Linked DNA regions of Macaca fascicularis. The protein of the gene in region 2 purifies or fractionates together with the protein of the main gene of each other region. This does not show direct contact. Links are inferred from orthologs where the notes say so. Each region holds a gene or a part of one and is shown on either strand. Other genes may lie near its edges. The genes, in order: POLR1E, KPNA2, POLR3F, RAN, SMARCB1, NCBP1 and CHD4.

Region 1 (4,022 bases), on a different chromosome or scaffold from region 2:
CTGTACTGTAATGGAAAACTCTTTTGGGGTGTAGGAATCTAGAATTACACTAGAATTTATGGCACAACAGTTTTATGGAGGCAAAATCAAGTAAACGGGAAGGAGACCAGTTGGAACTAGGGCATCGTTGAGAGGGGAGAGTGCAGGGTTAGTAGTTCTCAGCACCTATACAGCAATCTGACCTCTATTGGAGTATGGTCCAGTAAGGCTCAGAAAGGGCCTGGTTTGTAGTTCATTGTTGGGTACCATCACAGGGCCCTGTCTGCATCATGCCAGCCCCCGAGAGTGATATAGTTGAGGTTGGACAATCTTCATTGTACAGACTAGGGGTCAGTGATGGGCAGAGTTACCCAGCCACTCAGTCAAACAGCAGCACAGAGGGATGGGAATCCCAGGCTTCTCTTTCCCAGCCCAGAGCCTTCAACACTACCAAGTTCTTTACCTGTCGTTAGTTCCCAGGTAAACTTCACGCAAGCTTTGACCTACTAGTCACACATTCCAAATTAATGGAGAGAACTGCCTTTTGGAATAAGACAGCTATAAACAAACAAGGTTACAAATGAGGTTTTCAGGAAATTCAAGTTATCTTTCCTTTCCAGCAATGTCTACAGGTGAGGGGAAGGGCTCTATGTCTAATAGGAACACAGGAATCACCTAGTAAACCGCTCTAGATGGCTCCTACTGCCCTTAAGACAGACAGGAAACAGCAGTGCCAGTGCTGCCACCACTCCCAACCCCATCACCCTTCCCGCTGTCCCTTCCCCTGCCATTACCTGCACAAAGTGTTGCATTTGAGGGCTCCAGTACCAAAATTGTTTCCCACATAGGAAAGTCTATCTGTTTCAGCTGCCTAAAATGCAGAGAGGAGAAACTCCATTTACAACCAATGTTGAAAGGTATTAAGCATCATCTCTCTTTTCTACATTTGCTGAGGCTTTTGAATCCAGACTCACAATGGATTAGAACTAGTTCATCTCTGGCAGATGATCCAGCTCCACTCTCTCTAAGGGAATATGGGGTGTCCCTGCGGGGGAAGCAAGACAACTTTTGGAAGAGAAGCCTCAGATGGTGCTAGCTTCTAATGGTATGAAAAGCTCTTGGGGGAATTCTATCACAAGACTTGAGAGAGAGGCCCTGGGCTTCTAGCACTTACAGGCATGCAACAAAGTGATTCTGTAAGCAATCTCTCTTTGGCCCAAAGTCCAAGCCCTTTTTCACCTTCTTTGCCCATCTCTCCCATGGCTGTTCTTTGTATACTCTCAGGACCATGGCTGATTGACTCCCCAATCATAAGCAAGCTTTCCTGCTTCTCTGCATTTGTCCTCGCTATCCTTTTCACTTAGAACACCAAACCTTGACTGCCAAACCCTCGTTCCAGCCTTCAAGGCTCAGCTCCAACATGACCTCCCCAAGGAAGGCATTCTGGCAGAGACCTCTCCTCCCACTGAGCTCACTCTGCCCTGTAATCTTCCGCACGTGGCCTCAGAGCTTTGTGTAAAAGTGTCCCTCACAGCCAGTTCTCATCTCTCTAGAGCAGAGGTTCTCAATCCAGGGAAATCCACTCTGGTGCTACTGGCATCCAGTGAGTAGAGACTAGGGATGCTGCCCCCACAGCAAAGAATTATTGGCCCCAAAAGTCAATAGTCCTGAGGTTAAGAAACCCTGTTCTAGAGTATGAACTCCGAGTGGGGCTAGGCCTGATTTGGCTGTTTTCCTAGAAGCTTGCAGCACAGGGATACAGAGGAGGTTCCATAAATGCTTGTTGAAAGAATAAATGAATGAAAGATGGAGCCTGTCCCCACATCCCAAGTTGCTGGGCATCAGAGTTCTTCAAAGGTCCATTTGCTACTACTCTCCTGTTTCTCCCCTCACTCCCTCCCACACCACCCACTCCCAGGCGCCTTCTGAGCCCTGCAGAGTGGAGGCAGCTGGCAACTGCTTCACTTACCAGGATCCGTTGATTCCTCTTCCTGGGGTTGGTGGAATCTTTGTTCTCATACAAGGTAAAGCGCATGTTGCCCGGACTCTGTAGCTTCCCGTTGGAGAACTGGACTGTAAGAGTGCAGCCCAAGAATCAGGTGAGAGCAGAAGGCCACACAATGTACGGTGGGACTAGACTGTCACTGGGAGGGAGTGAGTGTCAGAATGGGGATGGCAAGGAAGCTCGGGTCCTGACCCAAAGGGAACTAGAGGAGATCCGGGGCCAGCTGAGAAGAGGGGTTAGGGAGGTGGGAGAACCCTGGGGAGGGGCTGTAACAAGGGGGAATGTCTCGCGGAAGGAGGCTGACAGCAGACGCCTGGTCCACACCTAAAGTGACAGAAGGAACCCCTGCCCAGTGAAGAGAGGGAAACGGGGGAGGTGGGAGACCTGGTGGGTGAGGGGACAGCAGGGTCCTGGACACAGCCCTGGGGAGCGGGTGAGTGGGATGTCCCAATCCGGCTGGGCGGTAGTGACAGAAAGACGGACAGGGCAGCCCCGACCGAGCCCAGGAGAGTGGTGGAGACTACAGGCGTCCTGGCCCCGCTGGGGAGAAGCCTAACGGAGTGCGAGGGGACAGCTGAGATACCGAGACGGAAGGGGGGAGGGTTAGAGGAGCACTGCTCCAGCTCTGCAGTCTTTACCCAGTACAGCTCTCTGGCTCCCGTCGGGCGCCCCACAATACTGCCACCTCGCACTCGGCAACACCTCCGCCGCCATCTCGCCTGTTTGTCCGCCAAGTACAACAGTTAAGACAGCAGTAGCCACAAACCCGCTTTTAAACACGCGGGAGCCTACGCCGCGCGGCAGGCCGGAAAAGGCGTGGCCCCAGCCGGGCACCGCCCACAGTGCGCGAGCCGCGTGTCCCCGCCCCCCGCGCGGAGAGGCGCGGTCTCCGCCCACAAGGTGCCACATACTCGCGCGACTGGCCGAGGCGCAGCACGTGATTAGCTCAGCGCTCGCCTGCGCTCTGGGTGTTGTAGGTCCAGAGCCTGAGGCATCCTACGGCTTCAGCCTAAGCTTGCTGTGAGCCTTCTTCCGGCTCAGCACAGTCTAGAGAGAGTGTCGTCTCTCTCCTACCGTGACAAACACGTCTTCCCAAGACCTGAAAGACCAAGTTCAAATTTAGAATTCTCTAACAGGAACTCCTTGAGCCCCAACTAAATGTGGCCGCTGGCAAAAAGCCGCCCCTCTCTAGGACCTCCCACCCACCCACGTGGACATCCAGTTCTAGGTACAAGCTTTGTCCACAGTCCGACAAACAGCGCCCCGCAATGCGCTGTGGCGTGCACACATGTGGCCCGATCAACCCTGAGGTGATGGAACAGAAGCCCAACCAACCCCAGGGCCTTTGGCCAGGAGATTCTGGACTGAAATAGAAGAGGGAGTCCGAGCTGATAGACATGTCCCTTTTTCACTGCGGATTCAACCATTCTTCTGCACGGGGAGTTTTCAGAGCACAAAAAAGGCAAAAGCAGGACCTTTAAGCATGGACCCTGGCCGAGGCCCCCTTTGCCCAAAGATGCGTGCTATTGAAGGGCAAGAACTCAGGCTGACTCCCCTCTGTCTTCCAAATCACCTTCTTTCAGGACTCTTTTCCTTCCACACATCCTCACACCCTCCTCCAACACCCAGAATCCTAGGAATAATCTTAAAGCCTGCAACTTGTCACTCTTTTCTAATTACCCAGTCTCAAACTTAAAGAAACACTGCAAGAACTTTTTTTGCCCTGAACCATTTAGAGTAAGCTGTCAACCTGATACCCTTTCACCCCGAAGACTATAGTATTTCCTACAGACAAGGACGTTCCCTAAATAACAACACAGCCATCAGCAAATTGCCAGGCGCAGAGGCAGAGGCAGTTCTATCCCTTGATTCTAGGAATTTGAGACCAGGCTGGGCAACATAACAAGACCCTGTCTCTACAAAAAAATAATCATTAGTCACGTGTGGTGGCACACGCCTGTCGTCCCAGCTACTCAGGAGGCTGAGGTGGGAGGATTGCTTGAGCCTAGGAGGCAAAGGCTGCAGTGAGCTGTGATGG
Region 2 (3,500 bases):
GCCTCCTAAGTAGCTGGAATTACAGGCGCCTGCCACCACACCCGGCTAATTTTTTGTATTTTTAGTAGAGACGGGGTTTCACTATGTTGGCCAGGCTGGTCTCAAACTCCTGACCTCGTGCTCTGCCCACCTCAGCCTCCCAAAATGCTGGGATTACAGGTGTGAGCCACTGTGCCCAGCCTGTAGACTCAACTTCTATATGTAAAAATCTCTAGAATCTAAAGTTGATGAGTAGGACTTACCTACCACCAATCACTATGACAAAGTGCCATATGCTGGTACGCTTGGATCAATTAGGGATACAACCAGAAGAAAAATATAAGTTATTCAAATTTTTTTTTTCTGAGATAGTTTCACTCTTCCGGCCAGGCTGGAGTGAAGTGACATGATCTTGGCTCACTGCAACCTCCACCCCTGGCCCAGGGTTCAAGCGATTCTCCTGCCTCAGCCTCCCAAGTAGCTGGGATTATAGGTGCCTGCCACCACACATGGCTAATTTTTGTATTTTTAGCAGAGACGGGGTTTCACCATGTTGGCCAGGCTGGTCTCGGACTCTTGACCTCAGGTGATCCACCTACCTTGGACTCTCAAAGTGCTGTGATACAGGCATGAGACACCATGACTGGCCAAGTCATTCAAATTTAATTTCACCAAAATTCAGTATGAAATTGGGACATTAAATCAAGTAAGTAAACAGATGTGATGAGTTCACATAAACGCCCGACTTCGATTCAGGTCCCATCATCCACTTGTCATCTCTTTCATCTTTGATAATGCCTGCCACATTTTTAATCAAAGGTGTGGCCCACCTAAACAGGCTTTCTGAATCTGTGGCTTACTAGTGACTAAACTTACAACAGTTGCCCTCCCCCAGGTCTAAATAGTAAACTGATTATTATCAAGTTCAAATTCAAACAAAGCCACCTTGATAGGTCTTACCTGAAAGATATTTGAAATGGCATCCAAGATAACCAGAATAATCTTGGTATCTTTTGCAGTTAAGAGGTTCATCAACGGTTCTATTATGCCACAGTGAACAAGGTACACAATCTGCTCAACTGTTCCACCACTAGTGTAGTTGGTCACGGCCCATACAGCTTCCTTTTGTGTCTTAAAATCTGCCTATTAAACATAAGGAAATGGTTTTATTTCAGAAAGTTGCAAGAATAAGTTTCCAGGAGTACTTTTTCACAAAAACAATGACTCAAAGTACCAAGGTTCTATCCAACTGTAAGTGAAAGGGGTTACTGGGTATTTTTCAGCAAAGGACTCCAAGTAGAACCCAAGATTCTTGCACGTGAAGAAGCTTATCAAGCAGAGCTTTCTATAAATACTAAAAATGACTTGATTAAATCCTAAGACTTCATTACCTTAGAGAGAACACTGACAAGGAATGGGACTAATCCATGATTCACAACTTGCTGTATCTGGTCCTGACGGCCAGCTGTGATGTTTGACATTGTCCATGTAGCTTCCTTCTGAATGTTAGTTTTGGGGTTGGTGAGCAGGCTGGGAAAGACAGCGAGCGCTCCTGCATCAATTACAACCTGAGTCTGTTCATCTGTACCAGTGACAATATTCCCTATGGCTCTTAGGGCAGGAGTCTGAAAAAAAAAAAAAAATGTTGATGCTGGTTTTTTCCCAGCACTTCAGAAATTCTGTACCCTAAAAGTTTTAACAAGAGGCCCATCATGGGTATGAAATAGGTAATATTTCAATATTAGTATCAACTGATAATGCTTTTTTTTTTTTGAGAGACAGGAGTCTTGCTCTTGTCACCCAGACTGGAGTGCAATGGCACGATCTCGACTCACTGCAGCCTCTGCCTCCCGGATTCAAGCAATTCTCCTGCCTTAGCCTCCCAAGTAGTTGGGATTACAGACGCGTGCCACCACATCCAGATAATTTCTTTGTATTTTTAGTAGAGATGGGCTTTCATCATGTTGGCCAGGCTGGTCTCTAACTCCTGACCTCAGGGGATCCACCCACCTTGGTCTCCCAAAGTGCTGGGATTATACAGGCGTGAGGCACCATACCCAGCCCTGATCATGCTTTTTATACTAATGTCCTAATCTACAAGTAAATAACTTACCACAATTGGCAATTCAGAAGCTCCTAGAAGCTTCACAAGTTGGGGCACAACTCCTGTTTTCACGACCATGTCAATTCGTTCATTCGGACCGTCAGTAAGGTAGGAAATAGCCCAGCAGGTATCTGCTAATACTTCTGGATCATCATGATGCAGGAGCCGAACTAAGGTAGGAAGAATCTGCTCAACAGCATCTATTGGGGGTGCAGGATTCTTGTTGCGGCAAAGATTTGAAAGTGTCCAGGTAAGATTGCGTAAGTAGCCACACTAGGGGGAAAAAAATAGGCAATGAGAGGTTCTGTCTTTTGAGAAGATGGGGGAAATTAGAATGAAGAAGTGAGTAACTTTATTCATGTTAGTAACTTACTGCTAAAGATGACATATCAGGAACCGCAAGCAGAGCCAACAGTGGGTCAACTGCACCATACTTAATAACCAAGTCTCGGAACACTGAGCCGTCACCTGAAAAAAAAGGCAAGATTAATTTTATTATCTTGTCCAACACCACCAATGTTCAGTGACTGATGCACCAGCAAAAACTCCCAAACGTACTTAGATGCCCCTCTGCTGCCTTTGTAAAGACGACACTTTCATTCCTAATAACGGCTTGAAAGCAAGCTCAAAACTTGATGAAGTCGTTACTATTTATAAGGCCTTTCTTTGAACTCATTACGCTTAGATACATTCAGTCAAAAGAACTTCAAGTCCAAGTACCTGCAATGTTTCCTAGAGCCCAGACGGCTTGTTCACTGATGTGAGCATGGGGAGATGCCAACAGAGAGATGAATGCTGGGATGGCACCTCCATCTACCACAGCCTTGGTCTGTTCTGATGTCCCAGAAGCAATGTTAGTGAGTGCCCAAGCAGACTCAAACTGAATGGGACTACAATCAGTTCTGCCCAAGAAGGACACAAATTTTGGAATCAAACCAGCCCGGATTATGCTGTCTATGGGGGGCTGTTTTTCTCTAGAAAGTAGTTTCCTAAAGGGGAACAAAAAGAGAAATAAAAGTTGAAAGTGGTTAACAAAAGGAGTTTGTGTAAAAACCAATTTAAAATGCAATTCAACAGTTTAGAACTTCAGACAACCTTTTAAGTAAATCACTAAATGCTGAGACATTCTGGAATCTAAGAGAAGCTGAACAGATTACCTATATGGTGCTATATATGCGGTATCATTAACTACCATTTTTCCAAAAATTAATGTAGATTACCCTCCTCTCCATCCCTGCAGAAATCTACAGATCTTGTCACTTTTTAAAAAAACTTTTGACGTTCTGACAGGGTTAGACTCCCATTGTTAACTGAATTTGTTCTCCCTGATAGTTGTGGTTAAGCACATTTTTCTTTTTGAGACGGAGTCTCGCTCTGTTGCCCAGGCTGGAGTGCAGTGGCCGGATCTCAGCTCACT
Region 3 (3,500 bases), on a different chromosome or scaffold from region 2:
ACTATAATAGGGCCCGCTTTGTGATCATCAAGTTAGGAGTAGTAGAGAGGCCTTTTACTGTGGCATTAAGATGACCATGCTCACCTGTCTGCTGGGCAAAAGGTCATCACCAGGTAACACAGGAAAACAGGCAGGGAGACCTATACATATGAATGACTTGATTTTGATTTACCGAATGTTTCATGTTTAGCTACCTTTTTGTGAAGGGTGCAAAATAGAATTCCTAATATGTTAGCCTTTTGTCTACAGATTGAAACCAGGGCATAGAGAGCTTAGGCATATAGACAAAGGCTGATATAATGAAATAAAACACACGCAGGCTCATGACTATAAATGCCATGAGGACTGGAACAGTGTCTTATACTTTCTCTTGTATCCTTAGTGACTAGAGCATAGAGTTGGCACTTATAAAATTTGGGAACGAATGAAGGAGGAGTGCTGGGGCATGCTGCAGGGGAAAGACATGATCTCTGGGTTTGAATCCCAGTTACTTCTAAGCTATAGGCCCCTAGGTCTTCCTAAGCCTAAGCTCCCTCACTTTTAAGGGGAAGTAACACCACGAGCTTCAAGAAGGTAAGGAAGATTAAATGAGACCACCTATGGAAATCATCAAGGACACACCTGGCCCAAGGTAGGTTCTCAACAAATCTCATTTTCTGCCCTATTTAGGTGAAATGATTAGCCCTCATCAAAAAGTGTCCATTTCAAGGCCAAGAGCAGAAAACGCAAATATCCTTAATGTGGTTATTCCAAGAAAGAATGTAAAGCAGGAGGCTGGATATGGTGGCACATGCCTGTAATCTCAGCACTTTGGGAGGCCGAGGGGATCACCTGAGGTCAGGAGTTCAAGACCAGTCTGGCCAATATGGTGAAACCCCATCTCCACTAAAAACACAAAAAATTAGTTGGGCATGGTGGCGGGTGCCTGTAATCCCAGATACTCGGGAGGCTGAGGCAGGAGAGCCGCTTGAACTTGGGAGGTGGAGGTTGCAGTGAGTCAAGATCGTGCCACTGCACTCCAGCCTAGGCGATAGAGTGAGACTCCATCTCAAAAAAAAAAAAAAAAAAGAATGTAAAGCAATGATTTGTTCATTAAAGGTCTGTTCATCAAGGTTTCACAGAGGTTTGAATAGCTCTTGGTCAACCCTAAGAGTCTGAGAAAACTGGGGTGTGCTTGCTCTGTTTCTTAATGTGGCACTTGCACCCAGGGGCAGTCAAGTGTAAAGTGAAGCCACTGTAACTCACCGGGCAGAGTCCACAGGGTGCCCGGACCAAACCCGTGGGAGGGATGATTGGACTGACTGCCCTGTACAGTTTCATGTGTCCGTCTACACTGCCAACTGTGCCTTCTTTTGCAGCGATGATCGTCATCTCCACTTTTCCATCATAAATGAGTGTATTCAGGATGGTTTCAATGTCCTCCATGGATAACTCTACCTAAAAAAGGGATACATCAGAAAGGACACAAATAGGACAGGGAGATATCCACTTGGAGGGTGTTAAAACAGTAAACGGTTGCTGGGCGCGGTGGCTCACGCCTGTAATCCCAGCACTTTGGGAGGCCGAGGCAGGTGGATCACCTGAGGTCAGCAGTTTGAGAGCAGCCTAGCCAATGTGGCAAAACCCCATCTTTACTAAAAATACAAAAATTAGCTAGGTGTGGTGGTGGGCATTTGTAATCCCACCTACTCGGGAGGCTGAGGCAAGAGAATGGTTTGAACATGGGAGGCGGAGGTTGCAGTGAGCTGAGATCACACCACTGCACTCCAGCCTGGGCAACAAGAGCCAAACTCCATCTCAAACAAATAAATAAAACAGTAAAGGGTCACAATTCTTCTGTGAAATGGGAGAAACATTATGCTGGGGTGGAGTAATTTGAAGCACAAAGAGGAGGAACAATAGTCCAAGTTAGCACAAACCACTGAAATGCCAGGGACAGAACTCTAAGCGCATGCTGAGTTTGACACTTTCTGGTATTTTTTACTTCTTAAGTAAAATCTAGAAATCTTATAAAAAAGTAGCATTTCTTTAGCAGGAATTTATTGGAGATTTATAAAATGCTTGAGCAGAAAGGCACTTTAAACATCAAATAGTCCAAGTTCCTAGTTTTTATTTTTTTATTTTTATTTTTATTTTTTGAGACGGAGTCTCGCTCTGCCGCCCAGGCTGGAGTGCAGTGGCCGGATCTCAGCTCACTGCAAGCTCCGCCTCCTGGGTTCACGCCATTCTCCTGCCTCAGCCTCTCGAGTAGCTGGGAGTACAGGCGCCCGCCACCTCGCCCGGCTAGTTTTTTTGTATTTTTAAAGTAGAGACGGGGTTTCACCGTGTCAGCCAGGATGGTCTCGATCTCCTGACCTCGTGATCCGCCTGTCTCGGCCTCCCAAAGTGCTGGGATTACAGGCTTGAGCCACCGCGCCCGGCCAGTTCCTAGTTTTTATAAATGAGAAATCTGAGGCCCAGGAAATTAAAATGAAATGTCCAAATGGCCACTTCTTCACTGTGAAAAGCATCAGTGTCCTTAAAAAAAAGAATTTCAAAAGGCTAAGGTACAGTGGCACTTTGGGAGGCCAACGCAGGAGGATCAGTTGAGTCCAATAGTTTAAAACCAGCCTGGGCAACAAAATGAGACCCTATTTCCAAAAAAAATTTAAAAAGCATCAGTGTCCCAAGCTTAGTGTCAGTTCAGACAATGCCCAATGGCAGCGACTGCCTTTGCTTAAGATACAGGACAGTATTTTCCCAAAGTGGATTCTGGAGAATGTTCGTAGCTATCATCCCCCAAAAAACAGTCTGGGTCAAATACATGTTTGGAATATACTGTATGTGATGAAGAATATGTTTTAAAAAATAAGATGAAATTCAGTTCTGACCTTACTGATTCCCAATTCACAGATATATTTCCACACTTCATGTGATGAGGCAAATGAACTATTTCTTTGTATCATTGGGTTCTGTTTGCTTTCTCGTGCAGTTTCTGCCTATAAGGATTGAAACATAAGAAATCTAAGCAAGAATATTGGTGTGTTTTCTGAATACACTTTATACTGAAACCAACAGCAGAACATATTTAGTTTAGTAAAAATTACCAATTTCAGGTTTTTAATTCCTATAAAATATGATAGATTAAAATTCTCTATGAAAAACTTTTTACAAGAGGGTTTGCAGTGATGTTTCTTCAATCATACCTCACCTTGGATTGTAGGAATTTAAAACACTGTTGGTTCAGCACCTCTACAAACTCAGATTCAAAATCCTGGTCACTATACCAGGCTCCGCCAGTCACAGACCGGTCCGGCTGCAGGTTATAGAGCATGTACACCTTCTTTTTTGAGGCCTAGGAAAGAACATGCACAGTTCATGTGTTTATAACAATTTCCAAAAACGAAAAGAAAAACACCTATATTTTGGAACAGTTTAAGACGTACAGAATTATTGCAAGGATAGTACACAGAGCTCCTATATGCTCCACATTGTCTCACCTATTTTTAACGTCTTGGATT
Region 4 (4,112 bases), on a different chromosome or scaffold from region 2:
AGCCCAGATTGCGTCACTGCACTCCAGCCTGGGGGACAGAGCGGGACTCCATCTTGGGAGAAAAAAAATCATTTCCATATATAATAGACACTGGTCAATTTCATGGTCTTACATACAATCTCCGCTAAGAGAAATAACTCAGGAAGTTTTAATTTTACACACCTGAAGATTCTTCTTTCGGTGGAAGACAATGGATTTCGCCTTCACTTTCCTGTCCTTAATGTCCACTTTGTTACCACACAACACAATGGGGATGTTTTCACACACTCGCACCAGATCTCTATGCCAGTTAGGCACGTTCTTGTAAGTAACTCTCGATGTTACGTCAAACATGATGATGGCACACTGGGCTGAAAGAAACAGTTGCGGTAATTAGTACACTCAGTTTACCACACAAGTGAAGAATGCTAAGAACCGCAGACTAGGATTCAACTATAGTCTTAGACCTCAACGAGGCACCTAGATCTCTCCCCTCACTTTCAAAGTCTCTTTCAATTCTAAGAACATTAACACAGAACTCTTCCTAAGAAAGATGAGCTGATTCTATCAAATCTCCCTGATAAACTTCACCATTAATACTCCCCTCATCCCCAAAACACTATCTGAAGTAATTAATGCCAAGTGAGATTCTGGAGAACCAAGCTGCCATATTCTGAGGGTAGGGCCTGGAAATAGTCTTCAGAAAGTCTTTAAATGGCCGACTATACTAGGAAATATCATTCCTGTCTTAAAAATTCCAAATAGGCCAAGCGATGTGGCTCATGCCTGTAATCCCAGCACTTTGAGAGGCTGAGGTGGGTGGATCACCTGAGCTCATGAGTTCCAGACCAGCATGGGCAACATGGTGAATCCCCATCCCTACAAAAAAAAATACAAAAATTAGTCAGGCATAGTGGCAGGTGCCTGTAGTCCCAGCTACTCAGGAGGCTGAGGCTTAGGAGGCGGAAGCTGCACTCCAGGTTGGGCAACAAAGCAAGACCCTGTCTCAAAAAAAAAAAAAAATTAAATAACCCAGATAAAGTCTATATACTCACCTGCAGGAATAACTATGGTACAGTTAGTAAGGCAAGAAACCACAACTTTTTGGTTAAAGGATTTTTTGGGGGGGAAATTCTTGTGTTTATATGTACATGTTCAAGGAGAGCAAAAGGCATGGAATGATTCCAGATAATGTGTTATTAGCAACGTGAGGTTCCAGGAGAGATGAGTATTTTGTTTATTCCTCTCTTTTTGGTACAATGAACATTTTCCTTGAGATTTTTAAATCAAACTATTTGAGAAAAATACTCTGCACAACTTACTACAAACAATTTAACAAGAAATTGGCTAGTCTTGTATAACACTTGTTAAGACCTCCTATCTCCTCTGGTCTAGTATCTGGTGTTGCTTTGTAATGGACTAGAAATATTCATTGATCGCCACACCAAACTACACACAAGAACCTAAGTTTTCAAATACTGAAACTGCTGTTAACAGCCTGTTATTGTTTTAAAGATGACTTATAAGTTCCAGTGTAAGTCATAGGTTTTTCTAAACCATGCCTAGCATGACACAGCATGCAACTTTCATAAAATTTTCTCCTCTGCCACCAAAATGGTGGTCAACTCCCTGAAGTCCACGTCTTTTTTTAACCCAGAAATGACACAATTCCCATTACAGTATTAAGCACTATTTGTTGGAACAGACCTGAGTTTCTATAACCTTGAAAACTGAAGTACACAAAACCTCTCAAAAACTGTTCAGCAAGTTACAAATGCCTACCTTGGATATAATAGCCATCTCTCAGTCCGCCGAATTTCTCCTGGCCGGCTGTGTCCCATACATTGAATTTAATAGGTCCTCTGTTGGTGTGGAACACTAGGGGATGAACCTCAACACCCAAGGTGGCTAAAACGGAAACGACATGATTGAGTGGATGAATTTACCCATTTCTCACGTATTTCCACAAGCAAGGTTTTCCTGCACATACCTACATACTTCTTCTCAAATTCACCAGTCAAATGACGCTTCACGAAGGTCGTTTTTCCAGTACCACCATCACCAACCAATACAAGCTGTTGGAGAACACATTTGGAAGTAAACCCAAAACACTTCACCTCTCAAGATCCCAGAGTCATGGAACTTTAACCATCACAGGCTCACTTAAAACAAAGAATATGGATGCGGGGCCCCGTTACAGCCATCGTGGGTCCGGGAGGAGGGACCCGCGAGTCGCACGCGGTCGGACTCGGCCGCCTCCCGCCCCGCAGGGTTACCTACTTTGAACTGGACCTGGGGCTCTCCCTGCGCAGCCATCGCGGCGTTCCTGCGGAGGCAGAGGACGGAGGCGAGCGCTCGCGCGGCCCCGCAGCCCATGGCGGCCCCGCTCCCGCGCCCCCAGCGCCCCACGTGCCCGCCCCACAAAGGCCTCCCGCCCGCGGCGCCATGGCGGCCGGGCCTCGGAGCGGGAAGGCGGCGGGCGGGGCCGGCATCCGGGGCGGCGGGGCGCGGGGAACGGCGGACGGAGAAGTCGGGATAGGGACGGGACTGAGACCGGGACGGGAATGAGAGCGGAGGATGAAACGGGGGTTCGCGGGGGCGGGCGCCGACCCCATGCCCGTCTCCTGCCCCGGCACGGCCGGGCCCGCGCCACCCACCTACTCACAGCCGCCCGCTGTCCCTGGGCCCGCCACCTGCCCCGGCCCTGACCCCGGCTCCGGCCCCTATCCCGCTGCCGCCGCCCCTGTCCCCGCCCGGCCCTGCCCTGCCCGGCCCGCCGCGTCTCACTACCTTCCAGAAGCGTCTCCGCGCCCGTCCGACTGAGGCTGGAAAGATGGCGGAAGCGCAATTCAAACGCCGGAGACGCAGCCGACGCCGGCGCGCGGGCAGGGGCGGGGCCGACGGGGGCGGGGTTGACAAGGGGCGGGGCAACGGCACGGCGCCCGCCCACGTGGCCCGCGCGTGCGCGCGCGCACGCACGCAACCTGGTTCAGTCGGCCGCTGCGGCCGGCGCTGCGCTTAGGGTGGGGCGGGAGGCGCGATGGACCGCGTGGGAGGGCGAGCCGGGAGCGCGCACGCATGCCGGCCCGTGGGGGCCACGTGCGCCGACGCCCAGTGCGGGCTCGGGGGCGCGCATGCGCTGACAGGGAGGCGGCGCGCCCCTGGGCGGGAGTCGTTGGGCGCGGCCGGACTGTCGCGGCCGTGCTACCTCTTGGGTGGGAGGCGGTACTCGCTTGGGCAGACGCGGTCAGGCACGCGGCTTCCAGGCGCTGGCCAGCCAGTCCTTGTCTGTGCCCCGTGGGGTTGGGGTACTTGGGGTCCTGGGGCTTAGGATGGCGCTCGCGTGCGCGCAGGACGGGTGAGTGACAGAACGGATGAATGAATGAAGGGATCCTAGGCTGGGCCTCCAGAGTCAGCCCGCGGCTCTGTCTCTCCAGATCGCAGCCTTCACGCCCCCAGGACCAGGGCCAGTTGGAGAGCGAGGAACCAGAGAGGGATGCCCCCACCCCGGAAAATGGCTACTTATTTTTTTTTAAGAGACAGAGTCTCGGCCGGGTGCGGTGGCTCACGCCTGTAATCCCAGCACTTTGGGAGGCCGAGACGGGCGGATCACGAGGTCAGGAGATTGAGACCATCCTGGCTAACACGGTGAAACCTCGTCTCTACTAAAAAATACAAAAAACTAGCCGGGCGAGGTGGCGGGCGCCTGTAGTCCCAGCTACTCGGGAGGCTGAGGCAGGAGAATGGCGTAAACCCGGGAGGCGGAGCTTGCAGTGAGCAGAGATCCGGCCACTGCACTCCAGCCTGGGCGACAGAGCGAGACTCCGGCTCAAAAAAAAAAAAAAAAAAAAAGAGAGACAGAGTCTCGGTATGTTGCCCAGGCTGGTCTCGAACTCCCAGGCTCGAACGATCCTCCCGCCTCAGCCTCCCAATTAGCTGGGACTACAGGCGCGCACCACATCCGGGGTAATTTTTTTTTTCTTTTTTTTTTTTTTTTAAATTTTTAGGGACAGGATCTTACTATGTCTCCCAGGTTGGCTTCAGGGGATCCACCCGCCTCGGCCTCCCAAAGCGCCCAGCTTCTCAAAGCGTTTCATAGGTTGGCAGCCTTGGCCGCTGCGTCCTACAAACAA
Region 5 (3,500 bases), on a different chromosome or scaffold from region 2:
ACCAAGAAACTGTTTTATCGCCCCATAAAAGATTCCCAGCTGACGTGTGCAGAATTAAAGTGCCATCCATATGCACACAATTTCCTTCTGCAACTTCCCTGGAAAGGCCAAGCCATCCTTATGTTCTTACCACATCCCTTGGGGGAAAAAGAATCTGCAAAGCACACGTCTGTAACACTGGCCAGCCTGGAGGCGTGCCACCTTTCTTTGGGGGGAATCATAAAAAAGATTTTCCATAACCACATCACTCTGAACAATAATCCTTTTTCTTCCTTAATGCTCCTTGGGCTTTGTGCAGAGAAATGCATACTTTCTCGAGAGCTGAATGCACAAGGTAGATGGGTACAATCTTATATTCTGCACGTCTCACCCACAGGACCCGTCTCGGGTCACTGCAGAATCTACTTAATTACACCACGTATGGGTCACACCTTTGTCTATTCAAGTAGCTGACCCGTCAGTAACCTAGGCTTTCCTTGAGGCTGGGTACTTAAATGACTCCATATTCTCCAGTATTATTCACAATGCTACAAAGAATCTCTGTACATATAGTGGGTTTATTGATTCATTTTGTTCTTTGAAAATATTTCTTTGGGACAAATTCCTAGGGGTGGTATTAGTGGGCCAGAGAACAAAAAAATTTGATGTCAGGATGCTTTACAAAAAGGGCACTCCTGGCTGGGCACGGTGGCTCACACCTGTAATCCCAGCACCTCCAGCACACATGAGCGCAGCTCCATCACACCTTCCCCAATTCCTTACATTGCCAGTTTTTTGTTTTATGCTTGGAATTTTTATATTTATTTATTTATTTACTTTATTTATTTATGAGACGGAGTCTCACTCTGTCGCCCAGGCTGGAGTGCAGTGGCGCAATCTTGACTCACTGCAAGCTCCGCCTCCCAGGTTCACGCCATTCTCCTGCCTCAGCCTCCTGAGTAGCTGGGACTATAGGCGCCCGCCACCACGCCCGGCTAATTTTTTTGTATTTTTAGTAGAAACAGGGTTTCACCATGTTAGTCAGGATGGTCTCGACCTCCTGACCTCGTGATCCACCCACCTCGGCCTCCCAAAGTGCTGGAATTACAAGTGTGAGCCACTGCGCCCAGCCTTATTTATTTATTTTTTTGAGATAGAGTTTCACTCTTGTTGCCCAGGCTGGAGAGCAATGGTGCGATCTCGGCTCACCGCAACCTCTGCCTCCTGGGTTCAAGCGATTCTCCTGCCTCAGCCTTCCTGAGTAGCTGGGATTACAGGCATGCGCCACCATGCCCGGCCAATTTTGTATGTTCAGTAGAGATGGGGCTTCACTGTGTTGGTCAGGCTGGTCTCAAACTCCTGACCTCAGGTGATCTGCCCGCCTCAGCCTCCCAAAGTGCTGGGATTACAGGCGTGAGCCACCATGCCTAGCCTTTTTTTTTTTTTTTTTAAGAGACAGGGTATCGTTCTGTTACCCAGGCTAGAGGAGAGTGGTGTGATCACCACACCCAGCTAATTTTTTTAACCTTCAGTAGTGATAAGGTCTCACTATGTTGCTCAGGCTGGTCTCCTGGGCAACAGAGTCAAATCCTGGACTCAGGTGATCCTCCTGCCTTGACTTCCCAAAGTGCTGAGATTACAGGCATAAGCCACCATGCTCAGTCTTATGGTTGGAATTTTTGAAATTACACGAGGGCAAATTCTTTCCATGTTTGTTTACTCCCTTGTACTTCAAGGTATGGACCATCTTTTATCTATTTGTTGAGGTATCCAAGTTCGTTGTATAAATCTAGATGTATAGATTCTAGATATAACATTGTAACTTTCTAATTACTTGCTTTTTTAATTGTTACTATAAATACTCTTCTAAAGGTTCTAAGTTTTGTTTTGTTTTGTTTTGTTTGAGATGGAGTTTCGCTCTTGTTGCCCAGGCTGGAGTGCAATGGTGCGATCTTGGCTCACTGCAATCTCCACCTCTCGGGTTCAAGCAATTCTCCTGCCTCAGGCTCCTGAGTAGCTTAGATTACAGGCATGCGCCACCACACCTGGCTAATTCTGTATTTTTAGTAGAGACAGGGTTTCTCCATGTTGGTCAGGCTGGTCTCGAACTCCCGACCTCAGGTGATCTGCCCGCCTCGGTCTACCAAAGTGCTGGGATTATAGGCGTGAACCACCACTCCCAACCAGGTTCTAAGTTTTTATACATTCAAATCTATTGTTGTTTCTTTTGTGAGTTTATGTGAGTCACTAATTTTTCTGACAAATTGGTCCCACTTATTTGTTTTTTAAGAGATGAGGTCTTGCTGTGTTGCCCCAGGCTGGTTTTGAACTCCTGGCCTCAAGCAATGCCTCGGCCTCCCAAAGTGCTGGGATTACATGCGTAAGCCACTGTGCCTCGCAGAGTCCCGCTTTCCAAGCATTCATAACTGTTCCCTGGAATCCAGGACTTGGCTTACGTTTCTTACAAATTTCAATGATACAGAACAAACTTAGAAATCTGGCTAAGAAAATGTATAAAAACAGAGGGAACGGTTAAAAAGTGTTTCAATCCAAAAATTAGGACCAGGCGTGGTGGCTCACACCTGTAATCCTAGCACTTTGGGAGGCCGAGGCGGGCGGATCACCTGAGGTCGGGTTTGAGAACAGCCTGACCAACATGGAGAGACCACCATCTCTACCAAAAATACAAAATTAGCTGGGCATGGTGGCGTATGCCTATAATCTCAGCTATTCGGGAGGCTGAGGCAGGAGAATCGCTTCAACCCGGGAGGTGGAGGTTGCAGTGAGCTGAGATCATGCCACTGCACTCCAGCCTGGGCAACAAGAGTAAAACTCCATCTCAAAAAAAAAAAAATTAGCCAGGTGTGGTGGCAGGTACCTGTAATCCCAGCTACTCGGGAGGCTGAAGCAGGAGAATCATTTGAACCTGGGAGGCAGAGGTTGCAGTGAGCCGAGATCGTGCCACTGCACTCCAGCCTGGGCAACAAGAACAAGACTCCATCTCAAAAAAAAAAAAAAAGGTGTTTCAATTTAACTTCAACCCAACCAGTTCTTGAGTCTGAGAAAAGACCCCACAGATGTCCCCAGAGATGCCTTGGCCAGGAACGCATTACCTGAGGTAGGTGGGGGGCTCTGTGCTGATGGACACAGCCTTGTACTTCTCATCGTTGCCGTCCAGAATCTCTTCCACTTCCGAGGCTTTTAACAGGGTCACACTGGTGGCTAGAGTTGTGTATCCGTGATCTGTAACAGACAGACATCACTGGGTCACTCTGCTGGTGGCGGTGGCACACAGCAGCCAGCCAAGTGGATGCAGCACATCAAGGTCCTCGCATGCGGGAGGTGGGAAAAGCAAGGTGTCAAACTCACTACTACCGAATGCTGGCCTCTTCCAAAAGGGCAATCTGGACTGAGTGCTTTACTTACAAGTCCTGCTGGGTAGAGCCTCCAAAGGGACTGATTTAGACTAATCTGCCCCAGGCGCACTGGCTCAGGGGCAGAGGGTAGTGCTCAGGGCAGCA
Region 6 (3,500 bases), on a different chromosome or scaffold from region 2:
GGATTGGGAACACCTATGGTACAAGAAGGCAAAGGGAAGACAAAAATTAAAGCTCAGCTTTATAGATGGGCTATTCAGTACACAGTGGCCACTGTATGAGCTGGGGAAAGGGCAGAAAAAAGGAGGTATGAATGCTACATTAATTTAGGCACTTCCTGGTAAGATATCTGAAGGCTATGCAGCTAGCATCTGGAATACTGGACTGGAGCTCAGGAGAAAGGATGGAGACACAGTTACAGATTTGGGGGTGTCATCAAAATAAAGGTGGCCTATGAAGCTATCAAAGTGAATGAGAATGCTTCAGGGGAGCATTTTAAATTATTTGGTTGTAGCTCACCTTTTCCCTCCATCCCAACAGTAAGTCATAACATACCAACAAACAAACAAACTTACCAAATATACGGCTTCATTATAATTGTTTGCTTTCAATGACTCTTTAAGTTGACGAATCATGGCTTCTACAAATTCTCCACCAAAGTTGTAATTCCTGGCATTCAGCAGTCCAACTAATGTTGTATAAATTGTCAACTTCTCAGGTAACAGACGTGCACTGATTTAAGAACCCAGTATAACGAGAAAACCCCAAAACAATAGCGTTAAGTTGCTGAATTTTATATGAATCTTTTTATCATTCCATTAACTTTGGAACAGGATTACTTTTAGCTGTCTTTAAAAATACTCCAGAAAAAGCATGTCACTGAGAAATGTTACAAACACAGTCCCGTAATTTTTCATTTTAATTCATTAATTAATCCAAGAGTTAAGAAAGTAAATGATTTAATTGTAAAGTTATCTTACTGAAATAAATAAAACTAATGCTACAACAGTTTTTTTTCCAAGTGTGTTTAGTGGAACTGAATAGCATTTCCACAGAACATGGTTTCCATGGTAAAATGTCTCAGAAATCCTGGGTGAAACAAGCCTCTTTAATACAGAATCATTAAGGGGGGTGCGGCATTCAGAATTTCTAAACTTAGCTAACCAAATGTCATGGAAGTAGAATTCTACTTTGAGAAACACTATTCTAGTTGCTTAGAAAAGAGGCACAATTAAAACGAGTTTCATCTAAGTTCCTACCAGCTTAATTATTGAATTTTTTTAAAACGTAGTCTGATATAGTTAAGATTTGCTTACTCCAAGTATGTTGATTTTGTTAAAGTTATTTGAAAAGTATGGGAAAGGATTACAATAAACCTTTAGAAAAAGCAATTTTTCCTAATTTAGGCAGCCTTTAGAATTAGCTCAAAAAGCAAATAAGAACTCATAATCATTCAGTGGGCAAGAGATTCTCTTTGACTTGTTTTCCTAAAGTATCTAGCAGAACATCAGGGACAATTAAGGTCTTCAAAAAAATACCTGTGTTGATGGTAACTGTACTCCCTGAAACCCTACCAAAACCAAAAATTAAAGAAGAATACTGCGAAGCAATACAAGTTCAGCCTTAAACAAACAAGGTTTCCAACAGTTTAAGTATAAATACTACCCCATTTTAATAAAGGATTTCAGAAGATTTCCTTAGTAGTTTCTTAAAGTTACCTTCACTTGATCTAAACTAAAAGGCTGAGAAGTGATAAACGTCACCTTCATAATTTAAAAACACCTCATGGATATGTTACAATTTCATGTTAACTACAAAGACTCCTGTTTATCCAGAGAGTATGCCTATTACTAGTGGCTTCCAAAGCCTCTTCAGTCTTCCAAGAAGAGCTATTACTTGTGTTACCAATTCCCAAATTTGTTTGGTACTACTAATTTTAAAATCTAAGTATCATACATTTAAATATACATGCTTAAAAATATGTATCTGAATGAGACAGTACTCTACAAAAAGTCAACTACAATGATTCTAAGGTTCTAAGAAATAACACACAAGGAAAATGCTCAATTTTAGTTTTATCCCTAAGAAAAAGAGTTCATTAAAGGGCCAAAGGTTGGCTCACTTGTACAAACTTCCCCATAGAAGGAAAGCCAAGGACATATAGAACATAAACATATATTTTAAACATTTCCCAAAGCATTTAAGAGTAGATAATACATTATCACCTGGATTCATAAATCTTTTGCATACATACACTGTACAAAGAAGCCTTAAGATCTTGCTCTTGTAGTTAGGAAGATCAGCTTCCAAAACACCAGCCAAGCCTTCGAGGTTGCTCTCCAAAGAGCAGGCACTCTGTAGAGGACATCACATTAAATATCTGTCAAGTACTCAGCAATATAAATTTACTGTTAAAAATTTATTTAAATGTAAATATATATTTTAAAATCATTTAAAAATCATAACCAATCATCTGTCCTTTTGCTATTTTAGTGTACTAAAATAAAAATTTCCACATGATCATTAAAATAGTCTTACACGCATACAGAGCTATAATGGGTTTAGTATAAATCAATTCAGATAGTTATTGTTCTTTAGAAATCCATGAAAAGTTGATGAGCGAAATTTAAAAACTAAGCAGTCTATGATAGCAGAGTAAGCATTAGAAATGGGAGGACACCATGGGCTCCATTTTACCTCTTTTACTAATTCACTCTGTTACTCTGGGCAAATTACCTCAAGTATTCAGGGTTGATTTAGTTCATGTATAAATTAAGGGGCTATACCCTAGGTCCCTTTTAAGGCTCATCTTCTATGAAAATTATTAATTACTAAATTACTAATAATAATCAATTATCTGCATCCCAGGGGCTTCAACATGGATTCAATTTGGGATACAGATGCATGGTAATACCAGCTTTACCAAAATGTAGTTCAAGTTTTCAGCTGCAAAAATTAATCAAAGCAGTCAACCACATTCTTAAACCCATCACAGCCTGTGCCTATTGTGTGACATACCTTTTCTCCTACTTTGCATATTAAAGATTCCAAATGATCTTCAGTTTCATTTGCATCAGAGGTCTTTCTCCTTTTGTGAGGCTGCCCACCTATTTCAGCAACATAAAAAATTAACATTACACGCTAAATCTGCTATCACAAATTTTATTTAACCTTTTTAGGTTATAATCTGTTTTCTACCAGGCCCTATTTTTCTGACAGAGTAGAAGCTCTTCACAGACCCTCCATTTCTCAGACTAAGCTAGATTAACCAACACCTCCCATTCCCAGAGCCACTATATACAATAACTCCAGGAGGCATTATTTATGTTAAATTTTGTGTGAATAGTGCCCATGGAGCTAAGCAATCAGCAGCCCTGTGCATTTCTGTGGAAAAGCTGGAAAGCTGCCAACAACGCGTTAAACACTAGTAGTTAGAATACTCATGTACTGCTACTCCCATTCTTTCAACTTGAGTTGTTTACTGATCCTCAGTTGCTTGTTCCGAAACCTGTTAGTACCAGTAGTATTCATTAGTCTAATAATGTAATTATTATGTAAATGACAAAATAAGGGTGCAAAACCAAGTCGAATGCTTTGGAAAGACTTGATCGGAAAAAAAAAAGCTGTTATATCAGCTATAAAGAGGAAAGCTTCAAAAGAGGGGAAAAAGGAGCATAAAACA
Region 7 (4,276 bases), on a different chromosome or scaffold from region 2:
AAGTGGAGATAAAGATAACCCATAGAGGCAAAGGGGACATCCTTCCATGCACATGGAACCCCCAAACTTCTCAAGCAAATAATATGCTGAAATGGCAAACAACAAACTGACTGAGATATAGAGGAAGATTTGGGAAAGGGACAGGAATAGGGTGTGGCAAGTGAAAAAAGTGGGTCATGCTACAGCTCAGGACAGAGTTCACAGCTCCTGCGCAGCTCCCAGTCAACATGAAAGGCAGCCCCAGCCCAAGGGGACAATGGGAGGCCAAGATGTGGAACCCACAATGTCTAGGCAGCACTACTGTTTCTCATGCGCCTCTCAGAAGGACGGGGTCCCCTTACCAGCACCACCACCCTGCCCTCACCTTGGGCAAGGGCATGGAAATCTGCCCCCCTACCCTACACAAGGATGAAACCAAGTTTCTCATCCCAACAGCCAAGACTCCATGACAACACTAACCCCTCTCCTAAATGGCCTCAGGTTGAAGTCAAGACTTCCAACTTAAAAAGTACCAAATGTGAAAGCATCTCTCCCAGACCACCTCAACTTCCGCTGAAGCTAAGAAGAGAGAAGGCAGAACTGAATGATGCTGGATGAGAAACAAAACCAGGATCAGCAGGCTCCAAAATGAGAAGAAAAGTAGAAGCAGAAAGAATGAAGAAATGACACATAGGAAAAAAAATGAACCTAGAAAACACGAAGGTCAAGGAAACAAGTAGATGACTTAGCTAGGGACTCTGAAAAAGGACACAGAAGAGAAAGACATCTGCTTAGGAACATGACATCAACCATCATTTGAGGATAGACAAGGGCTCCCCCAATCAGGCAATGTAGTTATAACCATACGGGTTTGGCCAGTTCATGGAGCCACCCCAAAACACAGATAGAGCAACCCCTAGCACACCTACACAGACGCTTCACACTGCTAGCCTAAACGCCAGGCTACCTCATAGAGGCAGAAGCCAGTAGGAAAAAAGCCAAAATTATGTCCACTCACCAAGAGAAGAGAGATGCCCTCCCTTCTTTTGCCCCTCTTCACTAGGCTATTACATCCTTCCCAAGCCCCCATCACTTCCCCACTCAAAACATTCCAGCAATCTGCCTGGCTAAAAGCACTCCAGATCCTGCTGAGGAGCGCGATTCAAACTTCACACAGCTGAGACAGCACAGAAAACCGGTAACTGATCAGAAGCTAAAAATAATCAGATAGAGTGTAACCAGCACTCCCTCTTTCTTTTCCACAGCGGCAACCACAGGATCCTACTAGCACAGATGCCGGGCTGGTCTTTCAAATAGAATCCTCAATGCCCCCCTCCGCCACCACCACAAGCCTCCAGGGGTCCCAGCTACCTGCATTCCTCCGAGGACCCACACACAAGGTAATGCCTGCCAGCCCAGAGAGCTCCCTCAACTGGGAACTGCAGAGCATTCCTCAAGACAGAGTGCAGCAAGCTGGCATCTCCGTCCGCGGTGCCCAAGAGGCACATGGCTTCCACCCCCCTCACACCAGAGCTCCGCAGAAGGGAACCACTCCCTTCGGATGCCCTCCACCTCCGGCTCTGCACAGAGACAGCCGAGCAACACAGTCCTGCCTCACCAGAGCAGTCACTCGGGAGAGCCCCAGATGCCTCCTTCCCGCCCTGGGCCCTTGGGGAAGATGTTACCTGGGTGGGGTGGGGGCAGGCTGTTGTTCAAAAGTGCATCCATATCCTCCTCCTCACTGCCCGCCGAGCAGGGGGACGGGGAGCCCAGGCCCGACGCCATCCCCTTCCGCTCCCGGCCAGGGAATTGGCCCAGCTGCTCCTGCCGGCGGCCTGGGGCCCTCTACACTGGCCCGAGTCACTGTGCGGGGGAGGGGGGAGAAACAGAGAACAGTCAGTGACGCGCACTGTCCCCCTCCCCCACACCCACCCGCTCTTTCCGCCCCCCACCCCAGCCACCCTAGCAGGGCACCCGAACCGCTCAGGCTGAACTTAGTTCCACACTCCTTGGGGGCAGCCCGGAAGCCGGCTCCCCGGCAGGCGCCCCCACGGAGCGAGGGAGCGACGCCTCCGAGGGCAGGCTGGTGCAAGCGCGGGGAGGGGAGACGCCGGGCTGGACCGAGCGGGGTGTGACGGGGGAGGGGGTCCGAGTGGCAGCGGCACGGGGGGGCCAGGGGAGGCGGCAGGCGGCGAAACGCTCTGGGACACAAGGTCACTTGGGGGTGGGGGGGCGCCTCCCTGCGCCCGGGGAGGGGCCAGTCCCCAGACAGGGCAGCTCTCCAAAGGCTGTCCTCTGGGACAACTCAGGTTCTCCTCAAGAGCTGCGGAGACGAGGGGGCGTGGAGGCTCGGGCGCTGCGGGGGGCCGGAGGCAGGGACGCGGGGGGCTAAAGCGTCCCACCGGGAAGGGGGCCGGGCCACGTGTCCCGGGGGGGCAAGTGATCAAAGGGCGAGGGGGTGGGCGCCGGGCATTGTGGGAGACCAAGCCGAAGGCGGGGGTCGCGGGGAGCAAGACTCCGGCAGGGTTAGGGCGGGTGCTAGGGAGGAGGCCGGGCGCCCTGCAGGCCAGGAAAGGAAGGGTCGGCTCCTCTGGGCAAGGGGCGGTCCGCGGGTCCGGAGACGCCTAAGGAAGGGGCGGCTGACGGGATGACCCTCGGGGCTGGTCGGGCCGTGAGGGGCGTCTCTTTGGGAACCCCGCGCTATCCTCACCCCGGAGCCGCCGCAGGTCGCGCTGGGTCCGGCTCAGTGTCACTCCCGCTCCAGCTCCTCCTCGCCGCGGCCGAAGGGGGGAAAATGGCTCCGGCTCCGGCGTCGCCTCTTAAAGGGCCTGAAACACCGGCCGGGAAATCCCACCGCACAGGCCCCGCCCCCCCACGGACAGCCCATAATAACCTCAACCAACTCCAACCCCCCCTTCCACTACCGCCACCCTCCTCCCCAGGTCTCCCGGGCAACCCCCGCCCCCTCGTCGCTCAGGCAACCACTGGCCACGCCCCCTTCGAGCGCGCGCGCGCGTGTCACCTGGGCAACCGCCCACCTCCTGGCCATCCCATAATACACACGGACACCCCCCCCCCCCAAAAAACACACACACACACACAACACACACACACACCCTGCCCCCCCACATTTCATACACATATGCCAGGGGCTGCTGACATCTCATAATATTGCAGACCTTTTGCAACTAACCCTCTTAGACATCCCATAATAGCCATCCTTTGCCAACTTCTTCACTCTTGGCCCTAATGCTAACATCCCATAATAATTCACCCCTCCCTCCCCATGGCCATCCCATAATAAGCACCCCTCCCAGCACTTATGCCTCATATCCCATAATACTCAGCCCCATCCCCCACAGACATCCCATAATAACCATCCTTCATCCACCCCCAGTTTGACATCCCATAATAGTCTGAAACTCACCCCCCCCATACTACAACAACGGACACTCGGCCTCCTCCCACACACATCCCATAATAATCAGTCTCCCACTTTCTATACTGACATCCCGTAATAACTAACCCCCTAGGGCTGCCCTCAGTCCCTGCAGGCTAGGGTCTAGAGGCTCACGTCACCCCCACCCTTCCCTCTTCTAGCTCCACAGCCTATATAGTAAGTACCCCTCCTCTATCAAAAAGATAACCCGTAATGATCAACAGCCCTACTGTCGCCCCACAGATGGACATCTAATCTCTTTTCCTCTGACACTGGAAAGCTATCCCATAATAATTTTACTCTCCTACCCACATCCTGACATCCCATAATAATTGCAAGGAGCCCGTGGTCAACCAAACATACCGTAATACTCCCAACACAACCCAGTGTCACATCCCATAATGCTTCATCTCCACTCCACCACCCCTATACCCTTTGAGCCAGGCATCCCATAATATTCATATTCTTCCCACCCCCATCTCCAGGCGCTGTCAGTCTATTCTAACACCCAAAGCAGGGAGGGCCAGGCAGGCTACCCACGCTTCCCTGTCCCCGCCCCCACTTGCACACACCTTAATCCCTTTCTGGGCCAAAGCAGTATCCTGGCAAAAAGCCTCCTCATGTCTGGGACCCCAGCTTCCCTCATACCATCATTTCCAGACACTTGGGGGCTAGAAGCCCACCTAGGGCCCCACCTAGTCCCACCAAAATCCAGGTATTTTCCAGATGCTTACCTCCAGCTCCTAAGTTTTGAGGAACACCAACCAACCAAAATACCAAGCTGACAGATGAAACATTTACATGAAGTCTAATTCACCCTACAACATCCCATAATAATTACCAACTCCCATCCAAAGA

What was found.
Region 1: the proteins of KPNA2 (region 2) and POLR1E purify together in Homo sapiens (affinity purification with mass spectrometry; 3 studies listed by BioGRID and IntAct, with this or other methods). This does not show direct contact. The link is inferred for Macaca fascicularis from reciprocal best matches to the Homo sapiens genes KPNA2 and POLR1E.
Region 3: the proteins of KPNA2 (region 2) and POLR3F purify together in Homo sapiens (co-immunoprecipitation; 3 studies listed by BioGRID and IntAct, with this or other methods). This does not show direct contact. The link is inferred for Macaca fascicularis from reciprocal best matches to the Homo sapiens genes KPNA2 and POLR3F.
Region 4: the proteins of KPNA2 (region 2) and RAN purify together in Homo sapiens (affinity purification with mass spectrometry; 3 studies listed by BioGRID and IntAct, with this or other methods). This does not show direct contact. The link is inferred for Macaca fascicularis from reciprocal best matches to the Homo sapiens genes KPNA2 and RAN.
Region 5: the proteins of KPNA2 (region 2) and SMARCB1 purify together in Homo sapiens (affinity purification with mass spectrometry; 3 studies listed by BioGRID and IntAct, with this or other methods). This does not show direct contact. The link is inferred for Macaca fascicularis from reciprocal best matches to the Homo sapiens genes KPNA2 and SMARCB1.
Region 6: the proteins of KPNA2 (region 2) and NCBP1 purify together in Homo sapiens (co-immunoprecipitation; 5 studies listed by BioGRID and IntAct, with this or other methods). This does not show direct contact. The link is inferred for Macaca fascicularis from reciprocal best matches to the Homo sapiens genes KPNA2 and NCBP1.
Region 7: the proteins of KPNA2 (region 2) and CHD4 purify together in Homo sapiens (affinity purification with mass spectrometry; 3 studies listed by BioGRID and IntAct, with this or other methods). This does not show direct contact. The link is inferred for Macaca fascicularis from reciprocal best matches to the Homo sapiens genes KPNA2 and CHD4.

What each region holds. Positions count from the first base shown.
Region 1 is NC_088389.1:61,840,633-61,844,654, forward strand, and holds the start of POLR1E (DNA-directed RNA polymerase I subunit RPA49), read right to left. Parts: upstream 2,801-4,022; 5' UTR 2,699-2,800; coding exon 2,623-2,698; intron 2,124-2,622; exon of another isoform or gene 2,053-2,123; coding exon 1,949-2,052; intron 851-1,948; coding exon 774-850; intron 1-773. UniProt on the Homo sapiens protein: Component of RNA polymerase I (Pol I), a DNA-dependent RNA polymerase which synthesizes ribosomal RNA precursors using the four ribonucleoside triphosphates as substrates.
Region 2 is NC_088390.1:74,467,001-74,470,500, reverse strand, and holds part of KPNA2 (importin subunit alpha-1), read right to left. Parts: intron 3,073-3,500; coding exon 2,804-3,072; intron 2,552-2,803; coding exon 2,457-2,551; intron 2,357-2,456; coding exon 2,093-2,356; intron 1,605-2,092; coding exon 1,371-1,604; intron 1,123-1,370; coding exon 940-1,122; intron 1-939.
Region 3 is NC_088384.1:68,804,015-68,807,514, forward strand, and holds part of POLR3F (DNA-directed RNA polymerase III subunit RPC6), read right to left. Parts: intron 3,335-3,500; coding exon 3,191-3,334; intron 2,979-3,190; coding exon 2,871-2,978; intron 1,438-2,870; coding exon 1,246-1,437; intron 1-1,245. UniProt on the Homo sapiens protein: DNA-dependent RNA polymerase catalyzes the transcription of DNA into RNA using the four ribonucleoside triphosphates as substrates.
Region 4 is NC_088385.1:137,989,105-137,993,216, reverse strand, and holds the start of RAN (GTP-binding nuclear protein Ran), read right to left. Parts: upstream 2,801-4,112; 5' UTR 2,770-2,800; intron 2,306-2,769; 5' UTR 2,296-2,305; coding exon 2,260-2,295; intron 2,055-2,259; coding exon 1,970-2,054; intron 1,888-1,969; coding exon 1,762-1,887; intron 351-1,761; coding exon 163-350; intron 1-162. UniProt on the Homo sapiens protein: GTPase involved in nucleocytoplasmic transport, participating both to the import and the export from the nucleus of proteins and RNAs. Switches between a cytoplasmic GDP- and a nuclear GTP-bound state by nucleotide exchange and GTP hydrolysis.
Region 5 is NC_088384.1:28,078,284-28,081,783, reverse strand, and holds part of SMARCB1 (SWI/SNF-related matrix-associated actin-dependent regulator of chromatin subfamily B member 1), read right to left. Parts: intron 3,223-3,500; coding exon 3,093-3,222; intron 1-3,092.
Region 6 is NC_088389.1:60,482,570-60,486,069, forward strand, and holds part of NCBP1 (nuclear cap-binding protein subunit 1), read right to left. Parts: intron 2,926-3,500; coding exon 2,837-2,925; intron 2,174-2,836; coding exon 2,073-2,173; exon of another isoform or gene 2,067-2,072; coding exon of another isoform or gene 2,044-2,066; intron 551-2,043; coding exon 394-550; intron 1-393. UniProt on the Homo sapiens protein: Component of the cap-binding complex (CBC), which binds cotranscriptionally to the 5'-cap of pre-mRNAs and is involved in various processes such as pre-mRNA splicing, translation regulation, nonsense-mediated mRNA decay, RNA-mediated gene silencing (RNAi) by microRNAs (miRNAs) and mRNA export.
Region 7 is NC_088385.1:7,528,353-7,532,628, forward strand, and holds the start of CHD4 (chromodomain-helicase-DNA-binding protein 4), read right to left. Parts: upstream 2,801-4,276; 5' UTR 2,690-2,800; intron 2,076-2,689; exon of another isoform or gene 1,960-2,075; intron 1,843-1,959; 5' UTR 1,765-1,842; coding exon 1,665-1,764; intron 1-1,664. UniProt on the Homo sapiens protein: ATP-dependent chromatin-remodeling factor that binds and distorts nucleosomal DNA. Acts as a component of the histone deacetylase NuRD complex which participates in the remodeling of chromatin.